Linked DNA regions of Rhinolophus ferrumequinum. The main gene of each other region encodes a partner of the protein of the gene in region 2 in a complex. Links are inferred from orthologs where the notes say so. Each region holds a gene or a part of one and is shown on either strand. Other genes may lie near its edges.

What was found.
Region 1: RBM10 (region 2) and MYSM1 share a complex: the UniProt entries of both Homo sapiens proteins name them as parts of the large chromatin remodeling complex. The link is inferred for Rhinolophus ferrumequinum from reciprocal best matches to the Homo sapiens genes RBM10 and MYSM1.

What each region holds. Positions count from the first base shown.
Region 1 is NC_046292.1:42,464,253-42,472,118, forward strand, and holds the start of MYSM1 (deubiquitinase MYSM1), read right to left. Parts: upstream 3,358-7,866; 5' UTR 3,222-3,357; coding exon 3,079-3,221; intron 1-3,078. UniProt on the Homo sapiens protein: Metalloprotease with deubiquitinase activity that plays important regulator roles in hematopoietic stem cell function, blood cell production and immune response.
Region 2 is NC_046284.1:86,742,852-86,750,785, forward strand, and holds the start of RBM10 (RNA-binding protein 10), read right to left. Parts: upstream 3,369-7,934; 5' UTR 3,056-3,368; coding exon 2,986-3,055; intron 1,154-2,985; coding exon 1,012-1,153; intron 1-1,011. Other genes in the region: NDUFB11 (NADH dehydrogenase [ubiquinone] 1 beta subcomplex subunit 11, mitochondrial), read left to right, coding at 3,841-4,047, 5,591-5,721, 5,893-6,019. UniProt on the Homo sapiens protein: Binds to ssRNA containing the consensus sequence 5'-AGGUAA-3'. May be involved in post-transcriptional processing, most probably in mRNA splicing. Binds to RNA homopolymers, with a preference for poly(G) and poly(U) and little for poly(A).

The sequences.
Region 1 (7,866 bases), on a different chromosome or scaffold from region 2:
TTGGGGTCTTTTCTATGTTCGTGGGGGATTAAACTTTGTTAATCCACTCCTTTCCTAAGAACTCTCTGAAGTCACACTATTCACTTCATATGCAAAAAGCCTGAATGAAATAGCTAAGTTTGGGGAGGTCAAATCTATGATATAATTAAATTTTACTTTTGTATGTCCTGAAGTTAAAAAGTTTCCTAGTTAAGTTGTAGACTTTTCCCAGACCTACTCTAGTGGTGAGAATTTTGTACCTCTTAAGACTACAAAAACCTATATACCGCTTTATATTTTTGAACCTTCAATTAGTCCAACAGTGGTTATAATAAATTATGGGATTAACAGATTATCTACAATAAACTAAAAGCAATAATGTTTCTCAACTGTTGATGGCAAAAAGGTTTTAATTCAAATGTCAATTCTGACTTGACAGGATCTACCAGGAACGCAAAATAAAGGATTCTTAGACTCATATCAGCAGAAGGAAACCTTTGTTTAACTAACTAGACCTGCCAAGGGTGCAGGAGGTGGGACTAGAATCACTTCAAGTTTACTTCAGAAATCTTTTTACATAGTATTCCTCAGTAAGAATTAGCAACATCCACACCGCTGGTGTATGCATCAAGACACCTACCTGGACATCCACAGGTACCACCAATTAATGTGTTTAAACCTGAGCTCACTTTCCTCTCAAATATGCTCCTCTTCCATCGTTCCCTATCTCAGTCTATGGCATCTTCATCCCCTTAAAAGCCCAAGCCAGAAATCTGAGCCTGTCCTTATTTCCTCACAATGCACATTCAATTTGTTGCCAATTCTGTTGCTTCTCTCTTTTTCAAATCCAGTTCTTACACAATATCCACACTGACCAGAGGGCCTGTACTTTCAGACCTTATACTTTTCCCTGGGTAAGTGCGAGGGATAAAGCTGAGGAGCCATCCACCTTCCCTCCTTTTTCTTTTCCCACTTATCTCCATTTGAAATATATATAGGAGGTTTATTGTCTGTCTTACCTAATAAAGAATGTTTGGTTCTATTAGAGCAAGGGTTTAAGTTTTGGTAACTGCTTGGTATACAAAAGGTGCTCAATCAATATTTGTTGAATGATTGAATGACTGAAGTAGGTGAGGCATGGATCACACAGATCTCTAGGAGTTAAGGAATGAATGTTTTATCAAGAAGTCAATTGGGAATTGAAAGGAATAACACAATCAGAGACGGATGTAAGAAAGGCGGCTCTAACTTCAGGGAAGTATAGAAGGGGCCAAAGAGACAAGGAACAGTTATGAAGGAGTGATTATATAAATACTAGAAAAAGGTGACAGTAATTTAGACCAAGGGCACAAGCAACAGGAAGAAGTGAACACATCTGAGAGTATACTTAGAGTCAACAGACCCTTAATAACTGATAGGACAGAAAGAGTAGAAGGAAAAAGTCAAGGAAAAGTGTACATGTAGGTCTGTGCCTTGTGTGACTGAGTAGTTGGCGCCATTTATTGAACTGGGAACCTAGAGAGGCACGTTTGGTGGAGAAAATTTCTAAGCTCAGACTGAGGGGCTTGTGGAACCACCAAGAGCATATAGTTTCGGAGTGTTGGATAAACAGATCCGAAGCTCAGGAAAAGAGATTTGGGTTGGCAACATAGCTGCGTCCTACACAGCTAGACCGAGAAACCACGGCTTGAACCGGAGAGGGAGGGGGGTGGCGGAAAAAAGAAAAAAAAAGATTAATTTCATCTACTAATGTGAACAATGATGGTTATTAAAGGTTCCCTACTCATCTGTAGAGCTTTGGACTGATTTGCCTAACGATTTGGGAGAGAATAACTATGAATTTAATTACTCCGCACATGTTTCCAATGCTTTAGAATTCACAAAAACTTTAAACCTCTTATGTTAGTCCCTCATGGGCAGGGTCAGTACTGTTGTCCACAATTTACAGAAACCCCAATGTTAGCTTGGATCATATGAAATTGCCATTTTACAGGTCAAAACGTTCTAAGACTGGCGCTTTCACATGGTTCAACACAGTAGATGGAGTTCTAATGAAGTTGTTCCCAGTTATGAGCAGCACAGCTGGCTGAGTTTAGTATGGAGGTCTTTTGATTCCTCATCCGTCTTGGCCTCTTCCACTATTAAAGGGAGACTCTGGAGGTACATTTTTAAAATGGTATGCATCAATTTCTATTTCAGACAGCAAAGAGTCAAAGGGTTAGATCTCAAGCTGGATGGTGCCGTTTAAAACGACACTGGCCTATTATGCAGAAATTGGTGTTAAATTCATCGTGACCCCTCACTGAGTTCTCACCATACCATCCTCGAGGGTAACAGAACAGTCAAGAACACGACAGTTACCGAGCACCTAACATATGCTAAAACACACCCAACAATTATATTTCATTGGATCCTCACCGGACTCGTACAAGGTACATTTCATGATTTGCCCGTTTACACATGAGCTGTCTGAGGCGGAGACAAGTTTAACGTCTGGCCTGAGGTCACACTGCTAGACACTGGCAGGGCCCGCCAATGCAGGAGGAGAACCCCGAGCTGTCCAGCTCCGAAGTCCTACCCCTTTCCCTTAAGTCAAGCTGCCTCTCAGGAACTTTTTCACAACTATCCCTACGTGGAAGAGGAAACCTGCGGCCAGTCGGACTGAAACGCCCAAGGTCACACGGCTTGCCAAGCAAGGAACAAGGATCCCTGACCTCGGATCTCGTCCAGGGGCCGCCCTTGTCGGAGTTACTGTCGGGCGGGGGTGAGGAGGAGGATTCTGGCGAAATTGGGGGGTGGAGGGAGTGGCAGAAGGAATTGTTCGGAAGAGTGCCTTGCGCTAGGCGAACTCGGAGCCCTCACGGCATCCAGATAAAAGGTGCGACAGCCGTCCGACACTCGCTCGGGGTCCCCGCCCGCTGGGCTCAGGAGTGGCCGGCTGGCCCGATGGGCGCGGCCCCTCACCGGCCGCTAGGAGACCCTGGCGCCGCGGTTTTCTTCCGCTCCCCTGGCCCTTGACCGACGCGCCGCCATTCTGCGGCACTCTCCTCGCACCCGCCCCCCTCCGCGTCCCGGCGAGACCCGGTCCCTGTGCCTCACCCTGGCTGTGCTGCCGCGGCCACCACGTCCCCTTCGATATCCACATCCGCCTCTTCAGCCGCCATGATGGGACCTGACCCCATCCGTCCTCCCGAGAGATCCCGCGAGAGGTGGATGGTCGGGGGTGGGGCCGCATGCGTCATCGGGCGGAATTGAAGTCTCGTCCAGCGCTGCGCCTGGGGACGCTGGGCTTCCGGAGAAACGATGCCCCCTGCGGCCGGGGGGTGGGTCTTTTTGACTTTTGTTGACGTTTAAAGACGTTGGGAGGTGGCCCAGGCTTGGGTTTTGAAGAGGTTGTGCTCTTGGATAAATTCTTTGGCACTCACTTCTCTCATTTGTCTAATAGGGATAGTAATAAATATCTTCCTGGAGTGTTGAAAAAGTGAAGCCAGACGTGCTTTAAACAGTGAAGGTGACTACAATGAAGGACCTTTTACCGACTGGTCTGCTTTTCGGTTTTTTTTTCTTCTCTTTTTTTTTTTTTAAAGAAAACGTTAGTGCTGAACAAGTTCTGTTTTAAAATTCAAAAAACATTTAAGAATATAACTTATGATTGCATATTTTATGTTGCACAGGTCTTTACAATTAATTAAAAAGTCACTCTCGTGACCATTGATCTTTACAATAACCCAGTCTATTGGAGGACTGGTATCAACAGTTTAACTTTACAGATGGGAAACTGAGAGTCAGAAAGCTGAAATGACTGTCAAAGGACACACAGCTGGTCAAAAACAAAGCTGGGATGAGAATCCAGGTTTTTTGACTCTTTACGGACTGCTCACCTTATACAAATTATGTTGTTAGGAACTGTGAAAGATAAACACCATTTCCAAGAATTTATGTCTTCTCAAGAAATTAGATATTGGCCTTATGTATTCTTCTACCTTCTACCTCACTCACATTACTGTAACAGTTTCTTCACTTGCCTGCCTCTAACACAGGACTGTGACTTCTTTAAGGACAAAGGCTGTCTCTGCGAGTCCTTATACTACCAACATTCAGCCTGGTGTCTGACACATAGTAGGTGCTTAAAATTAATATTTAACTGATGAATGAATCAATCAATTAATGGAATGAATTCACTTCCCACACTATTCTTAATTTGTTTCGTCTCACTTTTGTTCGTGCTCAGGGATAAGATGAGCTGTACTATAAATGTGATGGCAGAAGATGGAGAGAAAGATTTGTAAAGAGGGAGATCCAGGGCTCAAAAACTGAATATTGTCCCATCCTTAGGCCACTCTGGGAGTGCTGCTTCTGTTGTTTAAGGGCTGATCCAATGATAAGTCCCAATGGTAACTGGAAAGCCTGGCACAGAGTAGGAATTCTAAGATGTTTGTTGAATTTGGTTTAAAGCAAGGTTAGAAAGATGTACGTGGCCAGATAGTCAAAAGAAAATAAAGAATAGAGTTGCCTTTCATTGATCTTTATGTAGCAGGCTGAGATGGAACCCTGGTCGTGCTGTCTGCATGTACATGATATCAAATGCCTCCTAGACAATAACACAAAATATCATGTGAACAGTGTCTCTTGCAACTCTATACTGGATGAAGGCTTTCAGCTCCAGTGCCAGCATCAGTAGACATTAAAACATATGTGGAAGGAAGGAAAAGCCTGCACAGAATTTAAATATGCCCCGAGACCTTTAGACTAGTCTGAACCCTTTACAAACATATCCCACACAATGCTCCCGCTTAGTTGGCTTACAAGGGTCAAGGCCCAACCCGCCTGACAGGATAAGATTATAACCTTACAGTCAAATGAACTCCTGAGGCCTGGTCTATTTAACATTTCCTGTTCTAGAGGTCTGCGGCTCTGCGACTTGTTTAAAGACCCACTTTCTCACCAAGCAGTTTGGAAGCAGAATTCAGAATTCATATTTCATAATTCCTTGTTGTACTCCTCCTGTGCTGTATACTGGGGAAATGGCATTGAACAAGACAAACGTAGTCTCTGCCCCATAAAGTCTATCAGATATGCAATTTCAAGATGATATAATAATTTCTACGATAGAGGAGTTACAGGCAGTTGTGGGAGTACAAAGGAGGAGCACTTATCCCAGGAAGAACCTTCTCCTGTTTCACATTTATGAGGATGATATTGATTAGGCAAAATTTGAGAGCAATGCTCCAGACTCTGGGGAATACAAAATAGAAGACCTGTTCCCTAAATTGAAGAAAGAACCAACGGAAAAACATTGGAAGGAATAGCGCAGTGCCTGGTACTCACACAGAGCCCGGAATAGTGCCTATTCCTTCTGGCCAGACTGGGAAAACTGCACAATTCCTGGGGCATTGGGTAGATAACTCAGAAGGGTACTGTCTAAGCAGTTGAAAATAATTAGCTCTAGGTGGAGCACTGCGCTGGTACTGCCGAACAAATCTTAAATACAATATCTGAAAGGATAAAACTGTTTCCATGTAAACTTAACTGCATCTCCACGTCTCCTCCCGAAAACACTCAAGAGTATTTACAGGAATACAAAAATATCCAGCACCCAGCAAGACAAAATTCACAATGAGTGATGTCCAATTTACCAGGCATGCAAAGAAGTAGGAAAATATGACCCATAATAAGGAAAATCAATCAGTCCATTGAAACCCACCAAGTACTGCTATGGATGTTAAAATAAGCACATTAAACAGTTATTATAACTGTATTCTATGTGTTCAAAAAGTTAAGTGGACACATGAAAAATATTTAAAGAATGAAACTGAATTTCTAGAGATAAAAACTATAATGCCTGAAATGAAAAAATACACTGGGTTGGATTAATGGAAAATTAGACATGACAGAAGGAAGGATTTGTGAACTTAAACATGCAATGAAAGAACTATACAAAATGAAACACACAGAGAAATTTAAAAATTTTAGAAATAGAAAAGCAATGAGCTGTAGGACAACTTCAAGCTTCCTAATATATGTGCAATAGAGTTCTGGAAAGTAAGGGATAGGGATCAGGAAAAAAACATTTGAAGAAATAATGATTGAAAAATTTTCCAGCTTTGAGAAAAACTATAAACTCATAGATCTAAGAAACTCGAGGAACTCCAGACAGAAGAAACATAAAGAAAATTACATTAAGGCCCATCAAAATCATATTGCTCAAAAATGGTGATAAAGAGAGAAACTCTCCAGAGAATAAAGGCATGTTACCTACAGAGGGAAAAAATAAAAATCACAACAAAATTCTTGTTGGAAACAATGACAACAAGAAAATGTTAAATCAATATCTGTAATGACTGAAAGAAAAAAAGTCAGTGCAGTCAGAGAATTGAATACCTAGTAAAAATTTCTTTCAAAAATGGAGGCCAAAAGATGTCTTTTTAAGATATAAAATCTGAAGGAACTCATCATCAACCTATTTTTACTACAAGAAATGTTAAAGGACATCCTTCAGGGAGAGGGAAATGGTATCAGGTAGGAAAAAGAAAGAGTGCAGGGAATGGTAACTACTAGTACATGGTAAATATGTAAGTTTTTTTCTTAGTATTTAAATCTTGTTAAAAGATTATTAACTGTTTAAACAAATATAATAACAATGTATTGTGAGCTTTATAATATACGTATAAATTAAATGTATGACAACAATAATACAAAGTCCCGAAAAGGAGAAATGCAAGTATATTATTGTCAGATCATTATACTATACACGAAGTGGTATAACTATACTATACATGAAGTGGCAATTGAATACATTATCACTGTGATCTATTGAAGACGTACAATATGAACCCTAAAGTAACCCCTAAAGTAATAAAACCAAGTTTGAATGTTAATGAAAATTTATGCGTATATTACTTGTACTATTTTTTTTTAAAGCTATAAAAGTAGGTTTGCTACCTTGCTAAATTACGTAGAACTAGGAACTAAGTATTAATGGAGCAGGAATTCATACCAAAGCCAGCTTCAAAGCTTGTGTTGTTTTTCCCACACCAGACTGTCTCTCTTGTTTATATATGTATCAAATATGAATGTATTCAGTTCTTAGGGTTACAGATAATTGACCCTCAAGGACTGTAAATAAAGAATGTCAGGTTGTCTTCAAAGGTAAGTGGTGAGATCAGCTCATCAGAGAGCAGTGATATCCAAGTAAACTTAAAGAAAAGGAAGGACATTCAGGCCCAAATGAATTCATACATCTAAGTTCACAGTAGTAAATGCTGTCAGTACCTTTCCAAACAATGTCTAAGAAGAAAGAAGCTGGAATATTACACAGGTGTCCAGTTCTAGTATGGACAGAGCAAGAACGCAATATTTTTCCATCCTGTTAGCCAGACCACCTATATACCATGATAAGGTAAGTACCATGAGAGGAAGGACTTTGTTTTATTCATTGCTTTATTCCCATGGCCCATAACACTGCTGGCTGCACAGCAGGGTCTCAACAAACATTTGTTGACTAAATGGTCACAAAAGGCCATGACTAATGGCATGAAGCCATTACATTGGAAACACACTTAACTCTCCTTGGTCTGACTCCATACTCAGAAAGCAACCTTCAGGTTTTGTGAGTTATATTCCCACAGAAACAAGAGAATGGACTGACCATACTGATGTGAGTTTTATAGACACTTCTCAATGCAGTCACAATTCTCAATGCAAGGAACAACTTGACAGACTATTGGCCACATCAGTCTTGCAACCCTTTCAGGTAGTGTGAGTCAAGTTCTTGGGATCTGACCACTCTGCACATTGAGAGGATAAGCCAGTTTATAGACATTTAAGTGTGCTCCAGGCAGCTTTTTACCTGTCCCAGGCAGTCTTCCCACATATCTCCTCACACCA
Region 2 (7,934 bases):
TAAAGAAGGTCAAGACTGAATAACACTAGATTATGACAACAGCTCAAATTTGGGCTCACTTTTCAGAAAACAAAGTATTATAATTCTACATTTTAAAAAGGGCCTGGAGGTAGAAGAAACCCTTTGTAAGACATTACAAAAATTACTTCTTCCCTGACTTTACAAAATCTACTGACTCTTAATAGAGGCTTTCTGGGAGAGTTAGGTCTGCTTTCCTATGTAATCCTAAAATGTCAGGAACAGATCACCAACATTAGAATCAACTGGGGAGATCCACCAGTTGATGGTGAGGGTATGGTCTGGAATCTCTGTATTTTATCCAGTGTCCCAACTGTTTCTTGTTCGACCAGAATTTAAAAATAAGTGCTCAAGAGTGTCCCATTCCAAGACAAGCATCACGCCCACTTCAGCCCATCCTGCCCCTGAAATCTCCCACTATCTGACCTGGCTTGCCCCACACTTGGCCTGGCAAATTCCTAACTCTGAAGGTACCACTCCCTTCCATCCCTTAAACCCAAAGCTATAGTGCACACCTCTCCTGAGAATCCACAGGCACTTACAACCCACTACCCGTCTCTGCCTCTCCTCTTGCAGTAGCTGTCTGGACCTTGGTGAATGGCACCATATACCTACCAGGGTCCCCCAAATTGGAAACCTGGGCATCAGCCTCTATTCTCCCCTTTCTCTTTAATCCTTTCCCACTCTCACAACCAGCCGTGGCACCCATCCAGCTGTTTTGGAATCACCTGTAAACTGTGTGGCCCGCCTTGTGAGACCCTGAGTAAGGAGAAGGCTGCAATCTTATCTGTCCCCTTCATCACAGCTCTCCGAGAGCCTAGCACACAGGTCCTGGCTCACAACAGGTGCCAAGTAAATGTCTGCTGAAAAGAAACCAATCATCTACTGCACTGTTCGCTCTGCCTGGAAGCCCTTTCCTAGCACCCTCCTGGAGCAGTTCTGAGATGGGGACAAGCCTCGGCTGCTTGAGGGGGGTGGGAGTGGGTAACTCACCGTCTTTCATACTCCATATCCTGATAGGGCCTTCGGGGGCTGCTGGGGCCCCTCCTCAGCCGCTGGCTCCGTTTCACTTCCCAGCCACCCCCACAGCTGCCACCATGATCTGCCAGCCTGGGTGATGCCTCCTGCAGGGACTCTGGGGAGAGAGGAAGGAAAAAAGGGGTCAAAGCAGTTGGGGCAGAGAGGGCCTCCTTGAGAAACGCTCCTTGTTAAGGCTCTCTGCTGTCCCTTAGCCTGAGGACGTTGTTTCCCAATTCCTAGTGCTCCTGAGGACCAGAGTGGGAAGGCAGCTGCTCCTCCCCCCCCCGCCCACCCCCCCAGTACTTGGCCAGCTCCTTTCCTTCCCATACAAATGTGAGATTAGAGTCCACTGCCCTAATAGAAAGAGCAAGGCCTTCAGCAGACAGGGAGCATCTTGCAGAGAGAACTGGTGGTGCCACCCATTCTGTGATCAGGGCGTTGCCATCTGAAACTGGTAGACAAGTTCAAGCCCGGAGCTACCTGCCCAGGGGGAGTTCTCGGTGCTGAATGACTTGTTCCAGATTGGGCACATTAGGCATAGAGGAAAGACTTCATAAAAGGGTCCCAGGCACCCACCAGTCTCCTTCCATGGACCCCCAAGGTGTGATTTCATCCTCCCAACAAGATGCTGGCTGCCCCCTATAAGACAGCAGGAGACCATGAAAGGCTTAGGGGGTGAAGGGGCTAACTTGGCAATGAGACAGCTGCCGCCTCCCTGGGCTCCTGGCCAACACAGCTTTGGGCCTCACACGGCAACTGGCTCAGCCCTGAACCCTGTCTCTTATGAGCAGCCAGGTCCCAAGGCAGCTTTCTCCCCAGAGCAAAAGGAGCCCTTTCAGAGGCTTTTCCAAACCATTGTCCTATTCCGTTGGGATGCAAGGGCAGTCATTTCACCTAACCCTCAGGGCTACCATGAGAACTAAGGAATTCCCAAGCCACATGACTTGGCCAGGGGTCGCCACACAGTATCCCAGAATCCTCAGGTCTCGCCCTCTGAACAGGAATCAGGCAAGGCCAGGCAACAACAGCATCTGCCCCACACTAAGTTACCACCACACCTTTCCTCCGTTTATACACACACACCAATTTTCTCTTCCTCCTCAAGCTACAGGGAACCAGAGTTACCTGCTCCCAGATGGGTAAGAGTTAGAACAACCAGGGGCCCCAGCGGATAACAGCTGATACAAAACCCTCAGTAGACTCTGGCAAAGGGGCCAGTCACACATTGGTATCCACAACAGATAGGGACCAAAGTCACAGACACGCGCCCCAAATAACTCTGGGCCAAAATCACAGACAGGAACCCACAATAAGTATGGGTCATAAACACACCCCGAAGCCCCTTTTCAATAGATGAACGTCAGAATCACAGATAGGAACCCCCTTCCCAAAGAACGGGCAATAAGTCATACACATTCCTTGCATTCCCTCCCTACCCAGTTAAGTCGGTTAGGGCCAGTCGCAAGAAGACTCCCTATGGATAAGGACCTCTCCCCATGGATAGGGACCAGAGTTAGACACACACTCCAAGGATAAAGACCAGGGTCATACAAACGTTCTTACTCCTCCTTCCAAGACTAAGGACCCGAGCCACAGAACACCCCCACGAACAGGAAAGTAACAAAGTCACACAGAACAGACAGCACAGCCCCTCTCCTGTGGATAAAAACCATAGCCGCAGACACTCGCCTCCCCACGGATAAAATTCGGTGTCTCAGGCACAGTAAGCCACAGTATCCCACTCCCATCCGTCCCTCCCTTCCCCCAACCCGCGTGCACCTATCCAGTGTCCCGATCGCGCACGCGCCACGGCTCTCAAAAGGGGGAAAATTTTTTTTAAAAAGACAACCCATCCCGGGCTCAGACAGTGCACGCATCCCTCAGTTGCAGCCCGCAGTCCGCCCTCTCTCCTCTTCTACGCACCACCCCCCGCCCCCAGCCCCTTACCTCCGCCCCCACGACCAGCGTCGACGCTCACCTTTTCGGCCCGGGCTGTCAAGGGAGGGCTCCCTGACATCACCTCGGCCCGCTGCCACCGCCACCAACCCTCCCAACTCAGCTGGAGCCGGTCCGCGCGACAACCAAGTCCGAGGCTGGAAACTGAAAGGCGGGGGAGGGAGGAGGGGAGAAGCGCCAATCGCACTGCCCTCCCCGGAAAACTAACTGCCACCTACTCCCCGTCGGCCGCAATCAGCAGCACAAAATGGCGACCAAGAGCAGGGAACCGGCGCTTCGACCACCATCCACCTACCGAGGGAGCGCGCTCAGGCTGGTCGCGTCTATTGGTCACCGTATGCCATCGGCCAGCCCCGACCCGCTCTGATTGGCCAGCATCTGCTACCTCCCCATTCCCTGTGCGAACGCCCACAAGTCGAGAAAAGGAGTAGCTATTGGCCAATCTGGCGAGGCCCGCTTTTTAGAAGCTTGGCTTCCTTCGAAGATGAAAGACAAACGGAAGCTCCGCCTCTTCTCCAAGAGGGCAAGGGAAGTTCCTGTGCGTTTGGCTGGGAACTGCATCCACCCAAATGTCACTGCTTTCTTCTCAGCAAGGGTAGGAGCTGACCACTCAGGCAGAACTGCCATAGCTCCATCGAGAGGATTGGAAAATGGTTGCTCCCTTAAGGCCATGACAGAGGGAGACAAAGAGGGCTGCTCAGCGCCTCACTCGCTTGAAAAAAATCCAGACTCGGGGCCTATTTAGTGCGGTGGGGGCAGAGCGACAACTATCGCGCTGGGGTCAACTGCAGCTGCGCAGAGTCGCACTTCCGTCCCCGCCCCTGAGAGCCTGCAGAACCACCTGTCATGGCGGCTGGGCTGTTAGGTTTGTGCGCTCGCCGCCTTTTGGCAGCAGCCGCGACGCGAGGGCGCCCGGCTGCTTGGCTTCGCTGGGAATCCAGCTCCTCCAGGGCTGTGATCGCCCCGTCCGCTGTGGTGGGAAAGCGGGCACCAGAACCTACTATGCGCTGGCAGGAGGACCCAGATGTAGAGGACGAAAACCTCTATGAGAAGGTGAGAGGGAGGGGAAACGGGACGCCAAAAGGGTCAGTCGGGGACCAGCGGATGGGGCGCCATAGAGGACGTTGCTAGGCGGCTGAGGATTGTGCAGCTGGTGAAATCCTTGAAGACTTGGGAATTTTGCCTAGTTTCTTTTCCTCCTTTGTCTGGTGATATCTTCTGTTCAGGGCCAGAGATTAGATTGGCCTTATGTTGCAAACAAGTACCAAACCTGAAATGGGCAGTGCTCAAAACACTTAGAAGCAATACAGTATAATAATAATACTAAACACTGGTACGACTTTTTTTGGTGTCAGTGTTCTAAACACTTGACATACATTAATTCATCTAAATCCTCAAAACAACCCTATTTCGAAGTAGGTACTCTTACTAAACCCATTGAACAGACGAGAAAATTGAAGCACAGAGATGGGGAGTGGCTTGCCCAAGTTCGCATAACTGAATGTGTGTCAGAACCGGTATTTGAACTTGGATCTACCACGTCTGTTGTGCTCTCTTGATAGCAGAGCCTCTGAAATCAGAATACCTGGGCTAGAATACAGGCACTGGCAGTTACTCACCTGAGTGACCTTGGGCAAGTAACTTAACCCCTTGGTGCCTCAGTTTCTTTGTAAAATGGGCAAAGTATTAGGACACCTTCTAAAAAAATAAAATATTACACCTGCCTTGTGTAATTAAATGAGTTAAAATGCTCCGAACAGCATCTGGCACTTAGTAAGTACTCAGCATTAGAAGGTGTTTATTATTGCCACTTTCCATCTCACTGGGATATTGTGAAGTTTGTATATGTGAAAAGGCCTGGCACATAAGAGGTAATTCATCGATACTAACCTCTGATTGAGGGGCTTGGATATATAGGATACTCATTCATTCATTCATTCTGTAAATATGTATTGAGGGCCTCCTGCGTGCCAGGCACAGTTCAGGGCCCTAGGGGTTCAGCAGCGTGGAAATCATATAAAGCCCTTGCTCTTATATGATAGTGGAGAACACAGAAAATAAATATGTAAAATATTTGACAATAGTAATGTAGAGTATGTAATGGATCATATAACATAATGTGATACAGGCGATCTAGGAGCATGCTACTTTGATAAACTAATAAATGCTAGAAAGAATGTTAAGCAAGATAAGTGGATTGAGAGTGACTTGGGGTTAGGGAGTAATTTTATTAGGTTGAACCATAGGAAATTGCCAATATTCAACCATTTTTGACCTATGAAAATGGCAATTTCCCATAGTTCAACTTAATAGACAAGGTGACTAGGGAATGCCTCCTAAAGGAAGTGATGATGAAGCCAAAACTTGGAATGAAGAGGCAGATCCAGCCATGAAATCTGGGGGGAAAGGCTTTCCAGGCAGAGGGAACAACTAGTGCAAAGGTCCTGTGGTGGGAAGGGCTTGACAAGTCCCAAGAACAGAATGAGAGGAATTTAGGGATGGAGAGGAGATTGGTCCAATTAGAAGCCAGCTTATACAGGGCCAGCATAAGGCTTTGTGGAGCAGCAGGAAACCTCAATGATTTCTCCTTCCGCAGAACCCAGACTCCCATGGCTACGACAAGGATCCTGTTGTGGACGTCTGGAACATGCGCGTCGTCTTCTTCTTTGGCTTCTCCATCGTCTTGGTCCTTGGCAGCACCTTTGTGGCTTATCTGCCTGACTACAGGTCCATGGGGTGTCTAAGAGAATGGGATGGGTGTGGGCAGAGGCAGGGGTGGAGGTTGAAGGGGATTCTGCCAGGAATCCTGTCCTACCCCATTGAGGAATGGGGAGCTAAGGTGGGGATTGGTGTCCAGTGAGGCTCCCTCATGTCTCCCTCGCACGCTGCTGCCTCCAGGATGCAGGAGTGGGCCCGCCGGGAAGCTGAGAGGCTTGTGAAATACCGAGAGGCCAATGGTCTCCCCATCATGGAATCCAACTGCTTTGACCCCAGCAAGATCCAGCTGCCGGAGGATGAGGACTGACTGGTTGCTGAGTGGGGCTCAAGAAACACCACCTCCTCCACCCCCTGCCTGCCATTCTGCCTTCTCCTCAGAGCACCTAATTAAAGGGACTGAAAGTCTGATTGGCTGGTGTTGATTTTGTTGTACTGGGGATGTGGGAGTGGGGGTGTCAGGCCTTAAAAGGGCCACCACCACCTTTTCTGGGTGTTCCAATTATCTATTGCTGTGTAACAAATACCCGAAAACTTAGTGGCTTAATATGACAATTTAGTGTCATCTTTCATGGTCCTGTGATTGACTGTGCTCAGCTAAGTGGTTCTTGAGGTCAGACAGTGGCTGGTACTGAGTCATCTGAAAGCTCTACTGGGATGGACATCCAAGACGGCGTCTTCACTCATGCCTGGCACTTCAGTCTTCTTCCAGGTGGCCTCTCTGGAAAGCTCCCTTCAGGTCCACCCTCCCTACCGCAAGGGTAACCCCTCTCTCGACTTGTAACAACATAGGTTAGTTTCGTCTGGTTTGAAACTTCATACGAGTGCATCCATACATTTTTGTACCTGACTTTTTTAAATATATTTTTTTATTAGTTTCAGGTGTGCAAAACAATGCAATAGTTAGACATTTACACCCCACAAAGTGATAATCCTCCCCAATCGACTACCCGTCTGACACCGTACGTAGCTGTTACAATACCATCTAGTATCTTCCCTATGTTGTACTTCACATCCCGTGACTATATATACCTATATAGTTAGTTCTAGTTGACATTCAGTATTATTCTAGTTCAGCTTCAGGTGTATAGCGCATTGGTCAGGCATCTACATGTCTATGACGTGACCCCCATGGTAAGTCCAGTGCCCATCTGGCACCTTACATGATCTTTACAACATTCCTGACTACATTCCCCACACTGTATTTCACATCCCCGTGACTATTTTCTGACTACCAGTCTGTACTTCCTAATCCCTTCAGCTTCTCCCCCATCCCTACTCCCTCCCATCTAGCAACCATCAGGTTTTCCTCTGTATCTCTGAGTCTATTTCTGTTTCGTTTGCTCGTTTATTCTGTTCTTTAGATTCCACATATAAGTGAGAGCATATGGTATTAGTCTTTCTCAGTCTGACTCATTTCACTTAGTACCTGGCTTCTTTCATTCAGCTTGGTGGTATGAGACAGGTCCACGTTCTTACGTGATCAGTGGTTTGTCCATCCTCATAGCTGTGCTCTTTTCCATTGTATGAACAGATCACACTTCATTTGTTCCAATGTTGATGGGCATTTCGGTAGTTTTCTGTTTGGGGCTATTAAGAATAATTCTTCTGGGCGGCCGGATGGCTCAGTTGGTTAGAGCGCGAGCTCTTAACAGGGTTGCCAGTTCGATTCCCACATGGGCCGGTGAGCTGCGCCCTCCACAACTAGATTGAAGACAACGAGCTGCCACTGAGCTGCCAGTGGGCAGCCGGATGGCTCGGTTGGAACGTGAGCTCTTAACAACAAGGTCACCAGTTCAATTCCCGCATGGGATGGTGGGCTGCGCCCCCTGCAACTAGGTTGAAAACGACGACTGGACTGGAGCTGAGCTGCGCCCTCCACAACTGGATTGAAGGACAATGACTTGACTCGGAGTTCCTGGAAAATACACAGTTACCCAATAAAATTTAAAAATATATATTAAAAAGAAACGAATAATTCTGTAAACATTCTTATATACATCTTTTGATGGATATATATATATGCACTCATTTCTCGGGCATATACCAAGGAATGGAATTGCTAAGTCATAAGGTAGACAGGTGATCAGCTTTAGCAAATCATGCCCACCTTCCGGTCTCCACTTCCCCCGTGGTGAATGCCACATCCTCACCATTACTCATTCTCCATTTTTCTTTGTAATGGCCTTCTGGTGAGTGACTGACTTTTAAAGGACCACATTGGG